Tamandua tetradactyla: one gene and its partner. The protein of the gene in region 2 interacts with the protein of the main gene of each other region in a pairwise test. Links are inferred from orthologs where the notes say so. Each region holds a gene or a part of one and is shown on either strand. Other genes may lie near its edges.

Region 1 (7,816 bases), on a different chromosome or scaffold from region 2:
ATGGTAAATTGGTAAATCTAAAACAGGTCAATACTTCATTTTTTTAATTAACAAATTAATTTCAGTACAAAAAGGAAAATGCTTTTTCACTGTAATTTTCCAACTCATGCATTAAACTGAATTTAGCATATTTCAAAATTGAACTATTTAGCATACAGTTTGCTACAGCTGCCTTTTTATTCCAATGTGTCAATCAGAAATCTAAATATATCCTAGAATAGAATAAACTCCCTAAGAAAGATTATAATGTGTGTTAGATTTTTGGAATGATCCCCACTTCTGTAGTGTAAACAAATATTTAGGCAGATTCTGCTGAAATCGTTTTCAATTTTCATTAGAAAGGCAATGTTGATAAAGTATCCTTTTTCTTTTTTATGAACTGCAAAAGGAAATTATGGTTGTGTTAGATAAACCTTGTGAAAGACTGTATGGAAGCATCACACATAAAATGTAAAAATATAGATAATTTGGCTTTCATTTTTACTTGCTAGACTATTCAGCACACCAAAACAGTAGGAAAAAACCTAAAACTATTAGCTTTAAGAATCAAATACGAAAAAAAAAAAAAGAATCAAATATGCTTCTTCCTAGGGATTTTTTTCTGTATGGACTTGAATTGCAGGATATATTTCAAATCAACCTTCAATACACCATTAACGATAAAAAATGAATCATTTAATCCTTTTTATCAATATTGATGGTAAAATAATGTAAATGGTGAACATGTGCAGATGTGTACTCTACTTTAGTATAGCAGAAAAGTTGCCTTTTAAAGTTAAGTTATACAAGATGCTAACAATAAGGTAGTATATGGGAATTGTATTTTATGCATGAGTTTTCTATAAACCTACAACTTTTCTAATTAAAAGAAATTAAGTTATAAAAATGAAATGGTAGGTAACTATCTGCCTAACAAAATGATTAAAATTAATCATGGCTTTTTCCCCCCAACTTCAAAAGCAAGCAAGAGATTGTCAGAATTTAAATTAAATTATTACAAAGGGCAAGTTATTACCTTAAATTGAAAACAACTTTGTGCATAGAAGTACGATGTAAACATTACAGAAAGTGCCTGCCAAAACATTACGACATTATGCCTCCTGATGTCCAAAACCATCAAAATATGCTCCCCTAAATTCCTATTACTGGACTAGATGCCTTCCAAGATAAAAGAGAAGAAACCCAAAACTTTCACAAATGCTGTTCAATGAAAGTGTAAGCCTATACATCTAAAAGGGAATGGCAGCAGGAAATGACGGTGAAATGTTTCACGAAAAAAATCTCTTATAACCTTTCAAAACAAGCTTTTCGTTACATTCAAACCTATCTCCAGTGAACAAAGCAAGCTACATAAAAACAAACATATACACAAAAAGAAAAATTAAAAAGCACTCACTTTTCTTACTTTGGTAAGAAGTACTTTGGTAACAATGAATGTAGGACCATCAAACAATTTTTAAAGTTGAAAACATAAGTCCTTCCTTTTTTCAACACCAATAAGCTTTACAATATTGAACATATTCGTGTTAATAATTTTTTAAATTTATGTGTTCAGAATATCAATCTCTCCCTCTACAAGGGTGAAAGATGAGCTCTGTTTTTAACTCATGTTTTAAGTTCCTCTGGCTGAATTTTAACTTTCCAAGGTAAAATTACTGGGTTATTTTCCTACGTTCAACTTTGGGCAGGCAGTTCTTGCTGCTTCAGCTTATCTGGTTGTAAATTCAGACCACTATTAATACTTTATCTTTTGGGGCTTTTAAAATGGCCTAATTGCTTGCAATCTTTACGTGTATTCGCTGGATGAAAAGTACCGCAAGACAACAAGATTTTCATAAGGCACAAGCTGCTTTCATATCCCGGTGGCTTTTTCATTTACCGGTGAAGAGGACTGGAAGGCTTTGACACGAACCGGCCATGCAACTAGCAGACTGCACGCCCCACCCCCACCCTCATTTAAATCAAATCTCACACATGCGACTTACCTTGTATGACATGCTCTGGTGAAATGGTCTTCTTTTCCGATTTGTTGCAAATCTCATTGGCTTCAGAAGATATAAGGTGAATGAATTCAGTGCAGCAGTTCACCACCAGCTCCCGGGCATCGTTGGCCACCCGGACACTGGGAAGAGTCTCTTTGATCATCTTATTGATAGCAGCTCGAGGTATAGTGAGATCATCATCATTGCCAGATGAAGAAGCCATCGTACCTTCCTATTTCTCGCGCCCCGACTTTAAAAACAACTCCCCGGCTCCGGTACACTACTTCACGGAATTTCTCAAAAGGCCGCCCTGGAGAGTAACCCCGAGGGGCGCTTGGAGAACAGGGTTCAAAAAGCAGGAAGGGAAGGAGAGGAGCTGGCTTGAGAGGGTTGGGAACACCAGAGTATGTGAGATTTAGGGCGAGGTTGGGAGGAAAGTCGGGGGGCTGAAGATTCTGCAGGCAGCACTGCCCGGGCCGGGGAAAGGAAAGCTCGGCGTGGTCCGGAAATTTGAACGGCTGGGGAACCACCTCCGTGTCTCCTCGGAGGGGCGAGCGCTGTCGCTTAACCAGCCGGCCGCCAACGGCGCCGGAGTAGAGGCAAGATCCAGGGGCACTGGCCTCGCCGCGGTACAGGGCGGACACCCAGCGGGCTCGGCTCTACAGAGCCTGAGCCCCCGCCGCCGCCAGCAGCCGTTGCTGCCGCCTCTGCCAAACCATCCTTCAGATACCGGCGCCGCTTTCACAACATGTCGGCCGAGGCCGCTGCTGAAATTGAGGCGGCTGCCTCGACAAGAATACGGACAAAGTCAGGAACGGGGGGATCTCAGTGGCGGCCGCCGTGACCGTTTAGCCCGAACGAAGATCTTGGAAGCCCAAGCTGCAGCGACGGCGGCCCCTCTAGACGCCAAGGAAGGCTTGCTGGGAGCCGCTCCCGACACCCTTTGCACCACCGGAAGCCTCTGCCCACACCAGCTTCCCCCTCTCTCCCATACCGACTTCCGGGTGTAGCTGCCGCCCTTCCCCCACCAGCGCCGGCGGGAACCGCCTGTTCTCGCTGCCAGCAGCTTCCGCTTCTTGCGGGCCTTGCACGCGCCCGGGCATCCTGCCCCTTCGTGGGGTCCGCTGCTGGGCAGGCGCGCGCGTATCGCGGTACCGGGGAACCTGCGCACGCGCTTTCTTCGGGGTTGGGCACTGGACAGGAATTGGAGTGGGTGGGCGAGAGGAAACTCAGTCTCTTCGCCTCTGCCTTCTCTCAACCTTCTGCGGCCTCGAAACGCTGCCGCAGCCGTCTTTGGGAACAAAGGAGCTGTAGATTTCGTTAAAAGAACTCTCTACTTTTCTTTAAGGAGACGTGTTTGAGCTTGAAGGGGAAAGGAACGGGGCCTGGGCTCGGTATGAGGAGGTGGGATAGATTGAACATCATGTACCTGCACCGTGCGAGGGAAAGCTTTTGAAAATGTCTGATAGTTGTTAGTCGAATCAAAGCGCTGTATGGTCTTCCACCCACTTTCTCGTTTTATGGGAAAGGAGATATTCAGAGAGGAGGCTTGGCTAGTCACAACTTGAGGCTAAACTGGAAACTAGAAGTCAGACCCACTGTAGTGGAAATGCTTAGCGTACGAGTCATCGTTCCAACATAGCCGTTTTTCATAATGTATTGCACGCTGGCTTCTGGAGGGAAAAAAATGTATGTTAAGAGTATCTTAAGCAACTCTGATATTTGCTTATCTCTACAGGTGTCGAGTTCTTCACAAAAAATGTGTTATTTTTAGAAACCAAATTTATTGTACTGTCATTTGAACGAAGAGACTACATTATAAATAGTGGAATATTGCAATTTCTATAATGTAAATGAGGTACTATTTAAATCAGTTTTGGCGATTTAGTGCATCAAATACGTTGTTTTATATATACTGCGCGGCGGCTGGTTATTTGGAATATTTTTAAAAACGTTTTGTTTCTGTCTGAAAACTCTAGATGTGGCACCTCTAAGGGATCTTACGTTTATCATTTCTTCGTTTAGCATTTTTTCCTGGACACTTGCCTGTTCCTTCATTTTTTAAGTGTGAACACTTGTTTTTCAGTTCTAGTAAGTTTAGTCAAAACAAAATTTTTTTGATTTAACAATATTTTAAAATTCAAAGTAGGAATGTGAAAATGTTGGCTCAGAGGTAACGTTTTCCCGAAACGGTTTTTGTAATTTAGTTTGCTATTCGTTTAAAGAGTTATGTCATCTAAATTTGGCCTTATATTAATCTTACAAACCATGGACTTATTAATTTTATCAGTCCCCAGAGATATCATTGTCACTGGCCCATATTTTGTCTCTCCTAAAAAAGAAAATAGTGCCTTTTCATATAACACTTATGCTGTGTAGACTTAGAGACGTATGTTATGTAGATCAATAGAGCATGCATTTTAAGTTGTTATTTCAGTAGTAGTTTGTTACTACAGCCATAATGAACGTGGAATATGTAGAGAAGAAATCTAGGTTCGTCTCGGCCTTTTTGTTACTTTAGGTAGGTCACTTTCTTGGCCTCATATTCTTCAAGAAAAAATGAGATATATAATTCACAGGATTCCAGTCAAGTATGACTGTATGTGGAAATACTTTTTACTTTATATATTATAGCATATATTATATATGCTATATGTAATAAGCATTATATAAATGTTAGGGTTTACTGTCACTTTTATCAGGTCTCGGTTAAGGGGCAGTTTCAACCAGGAAGAAACCCTATATAATATGCTGAGAGAAAATTTTATTAAATATAAATAGCAATGTGGTATGTCAGGAAATATGCTGCTCTGGATTCCATATTTAAGTATTTACTTATAGGGATATTTATAGGCTTTTGAGAACAAGGATAACATCTCCTTAATAAGCTTTAAGAGTTTAAGAGATAGTGCACATAAATGGGACATTTTTTTTATGGTATCACCAAATTCATGATATGAACAGAAACATGATAGCATAATGCATTATTTTTTTATGATGATTTAAATAGTTATCTTAAAATGTGTTATTTCTTAGATGCCCAGGTCTTCAGCTAAAATTAGTGACAATGGTAGATCCGTAATATTTGTAATTTGAAGCATAACATACTTCTTTTGTGCTTAGCACTGTGCTAAATACTTGTACCCATATTATCTCATTTAATTCTCACAGCAATCTTACTTGATAGGGACTGTTTAAATTCCAGTTTTACAGATAAAGAAAGTAACTCCGAGGGGCTAAATAACTTGCTTTTTATGCATCTCTTCAGATGACTGTGATTTTTGCTTTTTATTTTGTTGATATAATGTATTACATTAAAATGATTTTCAAGTGTAAAACCAACCTTGTATCCCTGGGATAAATCTCACTTAGTCAAAGAATATAATTTTCTTTATATATTACTGGATTCAGTTTGCTAGTGTTTTGTTGAGGATTTTTGCATATATATCATAAAATATATTGGTCTTTCTCTGGTTTTGGTATCGAGGTAACACTAGCCATAAAGAATGAGTTTGGAATAGCTCCCACATCCCAACAGATTTATTTATTCCTCATGCTGTGGGTTCATGAAGGGTCAGCAAGGGGACTTTTCTCATAGTAGTCACTCAAGTATGCATTGAAACATTTGGGAAGAAGTATTGAAGGAGCCTTGAAATGTAAATTTTCGATAGGTAGAGAGAAAGGAAAAAAGTATTTGTGTTTAAAGTAACAATTCGAAGTTGTGGAGACAAATTATTCTGGCAACAGTGAGGAGATGGCCCTAATTGAAGCAAAGCATTATTTTTGTTTATTAGAAGTGTGAAAGCCAAAGATAAAAGGCAGCAGAAATCGTGAGGCAATAGAAACCAGAAATAGAGGGAGAGGAGTGAGAAGCTAAATCAGTTGTAACAAGGGCAACAGAAGCTAGAACAAAAGCTGTCTTCTCAAGTATAGGGGAGCAAATGCCTCTGTCATATATCCCAACAAAATAGTGGAATGCTAGAGTATTGATGTATGCACTTTTGAAAGAATCAGTAGGCCTCTATGAAACAGTTTCCTTTGCTTCTTTATTTCCTGTGTGTCTTTATAATTTAATACCCTTCTTAAACACTGTTTTGTTTTCTGCAACTTGAAAGAGACCAACTTATTCAAGGACTTTAGCCTTAGATTTGTATTTAAGCTACCATTTAACCAGCTATGTAACCTTGGGCAGAGTATTTAGTCTGTGTCTTGATTTTTCTCACCTATAAAATAAGAATAAGAATACCTGCTTCACAGGGTTGTTTCAAAGATCAAATGACATAATGTATACAAAGTAACTGAGAACTTAAATGCTCAATAAATGATGGTGGTTGTTAAAAATAATCATTACACTGATAATTATTAGTCATAGGAATAATAGAGTGAAACAAAAAACCAGTTCACAGAAAAAGATGGAAGAACCTGCAAATTTGGTTCTTCCTTAGTGAAAGAAACAGATTAGTCAAACAAAATTATAAAGTTTTAGCCTCAGAGACTGGAATTAAGGATTAGGGTAGTGTCACTGACAAAAACGGCCAAGTTGAAAGGAAGCAGTTTAGAGGAGACAACATGCCTCCTTTTGTACGTGTTTGGGTTTGAAGCAACAATAGGCATTTAAGGGAGGGATGTCCTTTAGGCAATGGGAAGAAGATAGGCAGCCTCTGATTCCTATATTCATTCGATAACTGAGTTCTACTATCCTAACTATGGTAAGGGAGAAATAAGATAAACACAACACTCTACTTGTTTTCAGGGAAAGCAGACTATAAACCAGCTTGAAACTAAATGCTATAAAGAAAAAAGCTAAAGATTTGCAGAGGAAATGGTGATTGACACAGTGTGAGTTACATAAGGCTATATGCAGGACTCAACATTTTAACTGAGACTTCAAAATGGAGTAGAATTTGATATAGAAGAAAAGGGCATACAGCTGAAGAAAAAACACAAAAGTATTGCTTAGAGTGGCTCTGTTTATAGATCGTGAACCGTTATAGTGGTATCAGATGCTGAAAAGGTAAATTAGGACAAAAAATAAATCAGTGCTATTATGAATGACAAACTGTGCTAGAAATGTCCATAGTCAAAATTTCATTTCATTTCTCCTATACCTCTACAAAACAGATGTTTTGATGGTGGAGAAACAATTTCAGAGAAGTTGACTAATTTGTTCAAAGTTTCACACATAATAAGTGATGGAACTGGAATATGAGATCTGGTTGTTTTGTTTGTTTTGTTTTTCAAGTCCAAAGCTGAGGCTATTTTTTTTCAGTGTAGTAACTATCTCTAAATTTTAGCAAGAGAGAAAAAGTTACATTCATTATAACACTTTAAAAATACAGAGCACTTTTACATGAATTTACTGTTTGTAACTAGTTAGCATTACCATTTTATAGATCAGAGAATCAATATTTAGTGAGTTTATTCAAGGTCAGAAGTAAATGACAGATTGGGAATGCAACCCAAGCTTTCGTACTCCAAAGCCTAAGCTCTTTCCAACATTATATTAAGGAATGTGGAGTTTCTTCTGTAGGCAATGGGAAGAGCTAGTGCACATTTTTGGGAAGGAGGATGACAATAAAAATGTTTAAAAAGATTAGTCTGGGATAACATGTGGATGAATGGGAATGGGGAAAGACAAGGAGATTAGTTATTAGGCTATTACAAAGCCAATAATAATGTAGACCTGAACAAAGGTGTGGAGTAAGAATGAGAGAAAACAAATCGAAGTCATTTGGAAACAATTTATATGATTCAGCAGCTCCTGACTCCATCTCAGTGAGACAGGGGAGAGCCACTCCTAAATAATTATGGGGGTGGGGGTGGGGCAGGGAATG
Region 2 (6,846 bases):
TCTAGATTACAAAGACGAGGTAGTGCACAAGGAGTTCTGAGTCTGTTAGGCAGTTCACTCAATTATCATCCTAAAAAGATTTGGAATTTTTTTGCTGGAGGAGGGAATGGAGAAGAGAGGGAGAGAGAATGCTGTCCTATTGCCTTATTGCTTGAAAACTCCTAATTTGAATTTATATTTCTACTAATCACTAGACCTGACCATCAAAAGTACAGTCTCTTTTCATCTGAGAGAGAGCTTTCCAGTTCAATCTGTAAAAACAAACTTTGTCCTTCAATATTTCAACTCCTCAGCAGTTTTTCAAGGTCACTTTTGTGAGCAACGACAGAGGCCTGCATCTACCAACTTTGACTGCTACACCATTTCAGTTCCAAAAGCTCAAAATATAAACCCCTATTGATCTTCTCAGGTAAATCTCTAATTCAAGGGGAAGCAAGAGGAAGGGAAATCAACATCCTCCAAACTTCTCTAATAGGGCCTGCTCCTTTTCCCTACCCAGACACTGAGTGCTGCTGGCTTACTGCTCCACAGTCTGCTGCAGAAATGTTCCAATGACCTTCATTCCATATTTGCAAATAAAAAGAAAACAAAAGACTGCTTTTATTTATCAAATGTTGTATAGATCTTAAAACACGGGATGGAAGACTCCACTATTCCCAAGAACTGTCTGGTAATTGATAAGCAACCCACTTAACTTCATATCCCAAAAGAGGAAAAAAAAAAATCACCAAGGGCAATATGTAGGGTACCCGTACTCTTAACTTTCTTATTCACAAACTGCAGGTAAATTAGAATTTTAAATATGTCATACAGAAAACGAAAAGCATTTTGTTCACAACATTTTAAAGACCCAAATCAGCAGCTGACAAAATGTTGAAATTGGTGGAAAAAGATTTACTCTGGTCACTGCCAATATAGTCAACCAGTATGTTTCTGTCCAGCATTCTAAGCTTTTATGTGCATTTTAAAACGAAAGGTTGTCACCAAATTAATTACTACTTATTAAAATCTGGAAGCAGGGAGGTAAATCAAAAAAGTTATGGGAGAATTTCACACTGGCATCTGGGCCTTCACCATTAGAACCTGCATCAGCGCAAATCATATTTTTACACAAATTCAGAACAGCAAAGGTATTGCTTCCACCCCTGAAAACACAGATGTCAGCAAAGTGCAAGGAAATAGAAAAACTCTCACAACAGCTTAGCTTATTCTGTAGGAAAGCTTCAGTGCACTTGAACAAAGGAAAATTATTTGGAAAACAGTTAAGTTTACCTAATGCAAAGAAAAAGTGCTCTGCTTCTGTGTGCCCCTGAAAAATGAGAAGCCTTTCTTCATGTACCTGATCTTGTTGGTACTCACTAGGAAAAGAAATTCTAGTTGAAGGGCATGCAAAAATCTAAACAGAGCAAGGTACTGTAGGTGCACCAAAAGGTATGCATGGAATGTAAAGTGGCCATTTTCTGAAACAGTGCAACTTGTCTACACTCTCTGAAGCTAAACAGTTTCTATCATTTCAACACAAAACAAAAAATTAAACTTACCGGGAACTGCATTAATTTTACATGTAGTTATTTATATCTCCTCGGACAGGGAGAATTTAAGTCACTCCTATCCCAACCCCCCCCCCCCCCCCCAAAAAAGGACGGAGGAAACAAAAGGCAGCAGGAGATGCAGAAACCTGAGTCTGGAATGTCCACTCCAGTGAAAAACCGAACAGCTGTCCCTCCACCCCCCAACAAACTATTCGCCATTTTTCTTTGTCTTTCAGCTGACCCCTGCCTCAGTGAAAAACTCCGAGGCTCCAATGAAGCCCTGCAGCCTCCTTCCACTTTAACAGTCAAAGGCATTCAATCTAGCATGCTATTTGACACCAAACCTCGCCTCCATAGTGTCCCCATTGGCTGACCTGCTTTATTGGCTAAAAACACAAAGCCATGATTGGCTGTTCACGTCATCAGTTACCTCCTTTGTACACTTCCTGTTTTAAAGTTACCTTGAGAAGCAGAACAGGGGTCAGATTCAGACTTCAAACTACCAGGAACGTGAGGCTTGGAAAAGCCAGGCAAATGCACATAGTAGATGCACTAGGGCCTCACATGTTTTCAAAACAGAGGATACTGCAAATTTAGAATTGTTCTTAAAATCACATGTAAAGGTCGTTACAGTTCCCACCCAAGAGGTTTCTTATTGGTTGTTAGAGTTCCATTTAAAAAAAATTTAAGGTAATTTAACTGTTTCTGATTGGCCATCAAAGATGTCTATAAGATACTGCTACAGTAAACTATAGCAGTGAACCAGAGAAACAATGTGCACAAGGTTGGAAAGTTGTAACTTAACTATCTTCAGTTATCTGCTGAGCATTAACAGAAGAAAAAGAAAACTGGGTAGTGCTAATCTAATGACTCAAGAAAATGCAGCTTCTTTAAAATAACAAAGAGTGATAACCCATTGCTACATAATACTCTGCAGGACTTCTAAAAAGGCATCTGCTATTATGTCTATGTTAATTTTTAAAACACTGATTAGGTTAATACCAAGGCAAAGCACTTTATTTTGAAACACAAACTAATCTAAACAGTAAATCTCTGGGGGTAATGTATGAAGTTAGTAACAGGAATAATGGTATTTATAAAATGTCAACCAAGAACCCAGTGAGAGAAACACATGGGAAAAAATTGGCAAAGAAAATATACCATCAGCAAATACATTGTTAAATTAGTACATTATAGTCACAATATGAACCACAAAAGGCTGGTCACGAAATGCTGCTGATTAGCTCTTAACATGATAAGAGTTTTTATATTATAGAGAATAAAACTTTTTCTATCACATTTTTATGAATATGCAGCAGGGCTGATCTCAGGAGGCATATTCTTATTTGACCCACTGTGGTTACTGAAGACATTCAGAGTGCTGCACAAAGATTTGCTTGTGGAATTCAAGCCCAACAGGTTAGGTTTTAAGCAGAATCTCTTCCTCTGGTGAAAATAAATGTATATATCTCTTTTTTTTTTTTTTTACAAATATTCAAATGAAAACATCTCACCATAAAAACATCTCGCCACAACCTGAGGCCTTTAACAATCTCCTCAAATCTGCACCTAATAGGTAGATTAAGATCTTTTCTAGACATTCCTTGGATGACCTTAAATAAGAGGTCATTCTGGACATATGCAGAGATCCAGCAGGGCCCTGAAATAGGACGAAGGTTTAACTTCTCCAAACATAATTCACTCATTTCCTACAATGAGATTAAATAATTTCTGAACTAAGTGCCAGGTATCATTATTCCTCCAATCCTCACTTGCAATTCCCTCAAACGTGTCAAAGAGTGAGGGTCAAAGGAGTTAACAATTGGCCCCTAGCCATATATAAAGAATGCAAATTCAGTTCCCACCTAGGATGGTTCTCTTTCCCCTGTATCACACTGCTTTCCAAAACATGGTAAGCACATCCAAGGAAATTCTTAGGTGTATCATATTATACAGTTTGCATAAAACCATTACCCAACTTCATTCATTTAAAAATTAGAAACTCGACTACTGTTGAGTTTGATCTGTTAGTAAGAGACCTAGCTAAATATCTAACCAAAATAGCACCTCATAAATTGATATAAATTTTATTACTAATTAAGAACATTTAAACCAGTTAACAAATTAACATTTATAATTTACAGGGATTTGAGACTGCTACCAAATAAAATATTAAAAGCAATATACATTGAAATACTAAGGGATTCTGTGACAATTTCACTATGGCATCTAAATAAGAGTTTGAACATGTTAAAGGGAGGGGATATATGTGCCTGAGGTTACCGAGAATTACAGATATTGTAGTTCTTTTCTCAAATGTTTAGACGACAAATTCTGCATAGCTATCTACCTCGAAACAGAAGGCAGAAAGCCAATAAGCCCAGAAGAATAGGGAGAACATGTTCACATCACTGGATTAGTAATTAGTAGCAGTATGGCAAAGCAACTAAGCACTTGGGAATCAGGTAGAGCTAGGTTGGCTCCTGCAATTAACTGTATGACCTGACTGACCCTGAGCCTCAGTTTCCTCATCTGTAAAATATGGATATCACCACCTGTATCACAAAGCCACTATAAGGAATAAATGAACTAAAGTTTATAAAGCACAATGTTCTGAGCCTACGTAAGTATCAAATAAACACAAAATTCTTAAAGTCATCCACTTCAACTTCTTGAAGTTTTACAGAGGGGTTAAGGCTCAGAGAGGGGCAAAACCTGCTCAAGACCCTGAAGCCACTCTAAGAGAAAGTCTCTTCTATCTTTAACATATTCTGCAGCCAGACAGCAACTCCACAGCCATAAAAGGCCTGTGGGAGGACTATCAGCTGCTACTAAAAAATCACCCCCAGTTTCTATGATGGATAGCCATGCTTTTCACACCAATCCCAGCTGAGGTCTGGTTATTACTCCAGAAGTCTGCCCTTCAACTTCACTTTTGATGTACCAGATTAAACCAATCTTGTCCCTTCATACTTTGTGAAGGTCTTCAGCATAGTTTTTATAGTTCTTGGCTGTTTGCAGGAAAAACACTTCAACGCCTATATCTTATCAACAGTCACCTTACATTCAAGTTACAAGTGGAAAGGAAGAGAACTCAAATTATCCTTGAATTTCCATATGGCCGCCAGACCAATTCACTTATTATAGCTTTCTCTTCTCTAGCTTGTCACTACTATGGACTATGTGGGATCTCTGAGATTTCAACTCACATTACTCTCTGGTCCTGAATCTCAACAGCCCTTTATACCAGACAACTGCATCTTCTCATCCTAAAAAACACCAAGATCACAAAATCCATGACTCTGGTTGTGTGGTTCAAGTTTCAGTGCTCTCAAAGAAGGCAGGGTGAGAAACAATGCTCTTCATTAGAAGACCAACTCTGAATCATAGCTACCTTCTCACTAGCTGTATGTCTTGGTCAAGTTACTTAACCATCTCTGAGCTTGTTTCTTTATGCGTAAAATGAAAAAAAATAAGTAACACCAACTCACAGGAGTCTGGGGTTTAACTGACATAAGTGAAAATACTGAGCATAACTGGCATGTGGTAGGTATTCAATTAGTATTTAAATATGCACTTGCTATAGCACATATAATTAATTTTTATTGGCATAATCTTTATGGCAAAAAATTTGCTATTTTAACCATTTTAAGTGTTGCCATTTAAAAAGTTCAGGGGTATTAATTACATTCACAATGTTGTGTTATCATCATCACCTTAAATTATCAAAACAGTAGCTCTGTGCCTGTTAAATAACTCTCCATTTCACCATAACCCCTTCCCCTAGCCCCTGGTAACCTCTAATCTCCTTTGTCTCTATGAATTACTTATTTTAGATATTTTATTATAAGTGAATGAAACAAGATTTAGCTTTTTGTGTCTGGCTTATTTCACTTTTAGCATATATGATTACTTTTTAACATGTCTACTACTAAGAAGGGTTTCTTGAAAGCAACAATTGTGTCTTATTTATCTCCATATCTCCAGTGCTCAGCACAAACAAATGACACCTTATCTCAGCATCAATGTTAAGGAAATAACAGGGAATAGTCTGGACTGAGGAAAGCTGGAGAGTGCATGTGCAATCTAAAGCGGCAGTCACTACTCAGCTTCAATCGACAATGGCCATGTAATAATGCTCGCCCACAGCAGTAAGAGTTTCAGATTCTTCAAAAGAAGCAAAAGCTAGATTCTCAAAATATGAAATCTTTCCATTCTAACCTTTGGTACAATTTTTTAAAATAATTATAAGCAGATGAGAGAAAAGTGAGGGCTAAGAGATTGCAATTTTTGACCCATATATTTCACCTAACTTGGTACTGAACAACTATTTAGCTGAAGAGCTATTTCCCAAATTGAATCCATCTTCAAGTTTAAAAGTTGAGGAGGTAGCCAACTCAATGGGAGAAAATATGTGGAAACCACATAACACAAAAAGGATTGATACCCTGTGTACATAAAGAAATTATACAACTCAACAAAACAACAACAAAAACAATTATAAAATGGGCAGAGGACATGAACAGACACTTTTCAGAAGAGCAAATACAAATGGCTAAATAGCACGTGAAGAGATACTTATTTTCATTAGCTATAAGGAAAATGCTAAACCAAGACGACAATGAAATATCGCCTCACATCTGTTAAGAATGGCTGTTTTAGACAAATAGAAAACTACAAATGTTGGAGAGGATGTGGAGAAATTGGAACACTTATTCACTGTTGGTGGGAATATATAATGGTGCAGCTGCTGTGGAAAACAGTCTGGCAATTCCTCAGAAAACTAAACAATGAGTTGCCCTATAACCCAGCAAAACCAATACTCAGCATATACCCAGAAGATTTGAAAGCAGTGACACCAACAGATGTTTTTTTTTTTGGCATGGGCAGGCACCAGGAATCGAACCCTATACTAATATACATTTTGCACACCGATATTCATAGTGGTTCTATCCACAATTGCCAAAAGATGGAAACAATGTAAGTGCCTATCAACAGACAAGTGGATAAACAAAATGTGATATATACATACGATGAAATATTATGCAGCAGTAAGACAAAATGAGGTTTCAAAGCATATGAAAATGTGGACGAAACTTGAGGACATAATGGTGAGTGAAATAAATCAGACATAAAAGGACAGATACTGTATAATTTCCCTACTATGACTCCGGTAAAGGTAATCCCAGAAGTTAATGCTGTAGAATATAGCAAACCTAGAATTATACAGAAGTTAGAGACGCAGGGAAGGTTACTCAATGAGGTTGAACTTAAATACAAGGGAACAGATAGAAGTGACAGTAGCTAATTAGTG

Evidence for each region. The genes of interacting proteins can lie anywhere in the genome.
Region 1: the proteins of NFYC (region 2) and DR1 interact in binary tests that used the Homo sapiens proteins (3 or more experiments, as listed by UniProt). The link is inferred for Tamandua tetradactyla from reciprocal best matches to the Homo sapiens genes NFYC and DR1.

Annotation. Positions count from the first base shown.
Region 1 is NC_135337.1:30,527,743-30,535,558, forward strand, and holds the start of DR1 (protein Dr1), read right to left. Parts: upstream 3,020-7,816; 5' UTR 2,206-3,019; coding exon 1,986-2,205; intron 1-1,985. UniProt on the Homo sapiens protein: The association of the DR1/DRAP1 heterodimer with TBP results in a functional repression of both activated and basal transcription of class II genes.
Region 2 is NC_135328.1:184,322,405-184,329,250, forward strand, and holds the start of NFYC (nuclear transcription factor Y subunit gamma), read right to left. Parts: upstream 3,018-6,846; 5' UTR 1,848-3,017; coding exon 1,679-1,847; intron 1,626-1,678; exon of another isoform or gene 1,542-1,625; intron 1,522-1,541; exon of another isoform or gene 1,273-1,521; intron 1-1,272. UniProt on the Homo sapiens protein: Component of the sequence-specific heterotrimeric transcription factor (NF-Y) which specifically recognizes a 5'-CCAAT-3' box motif found in the promoters of its target genes.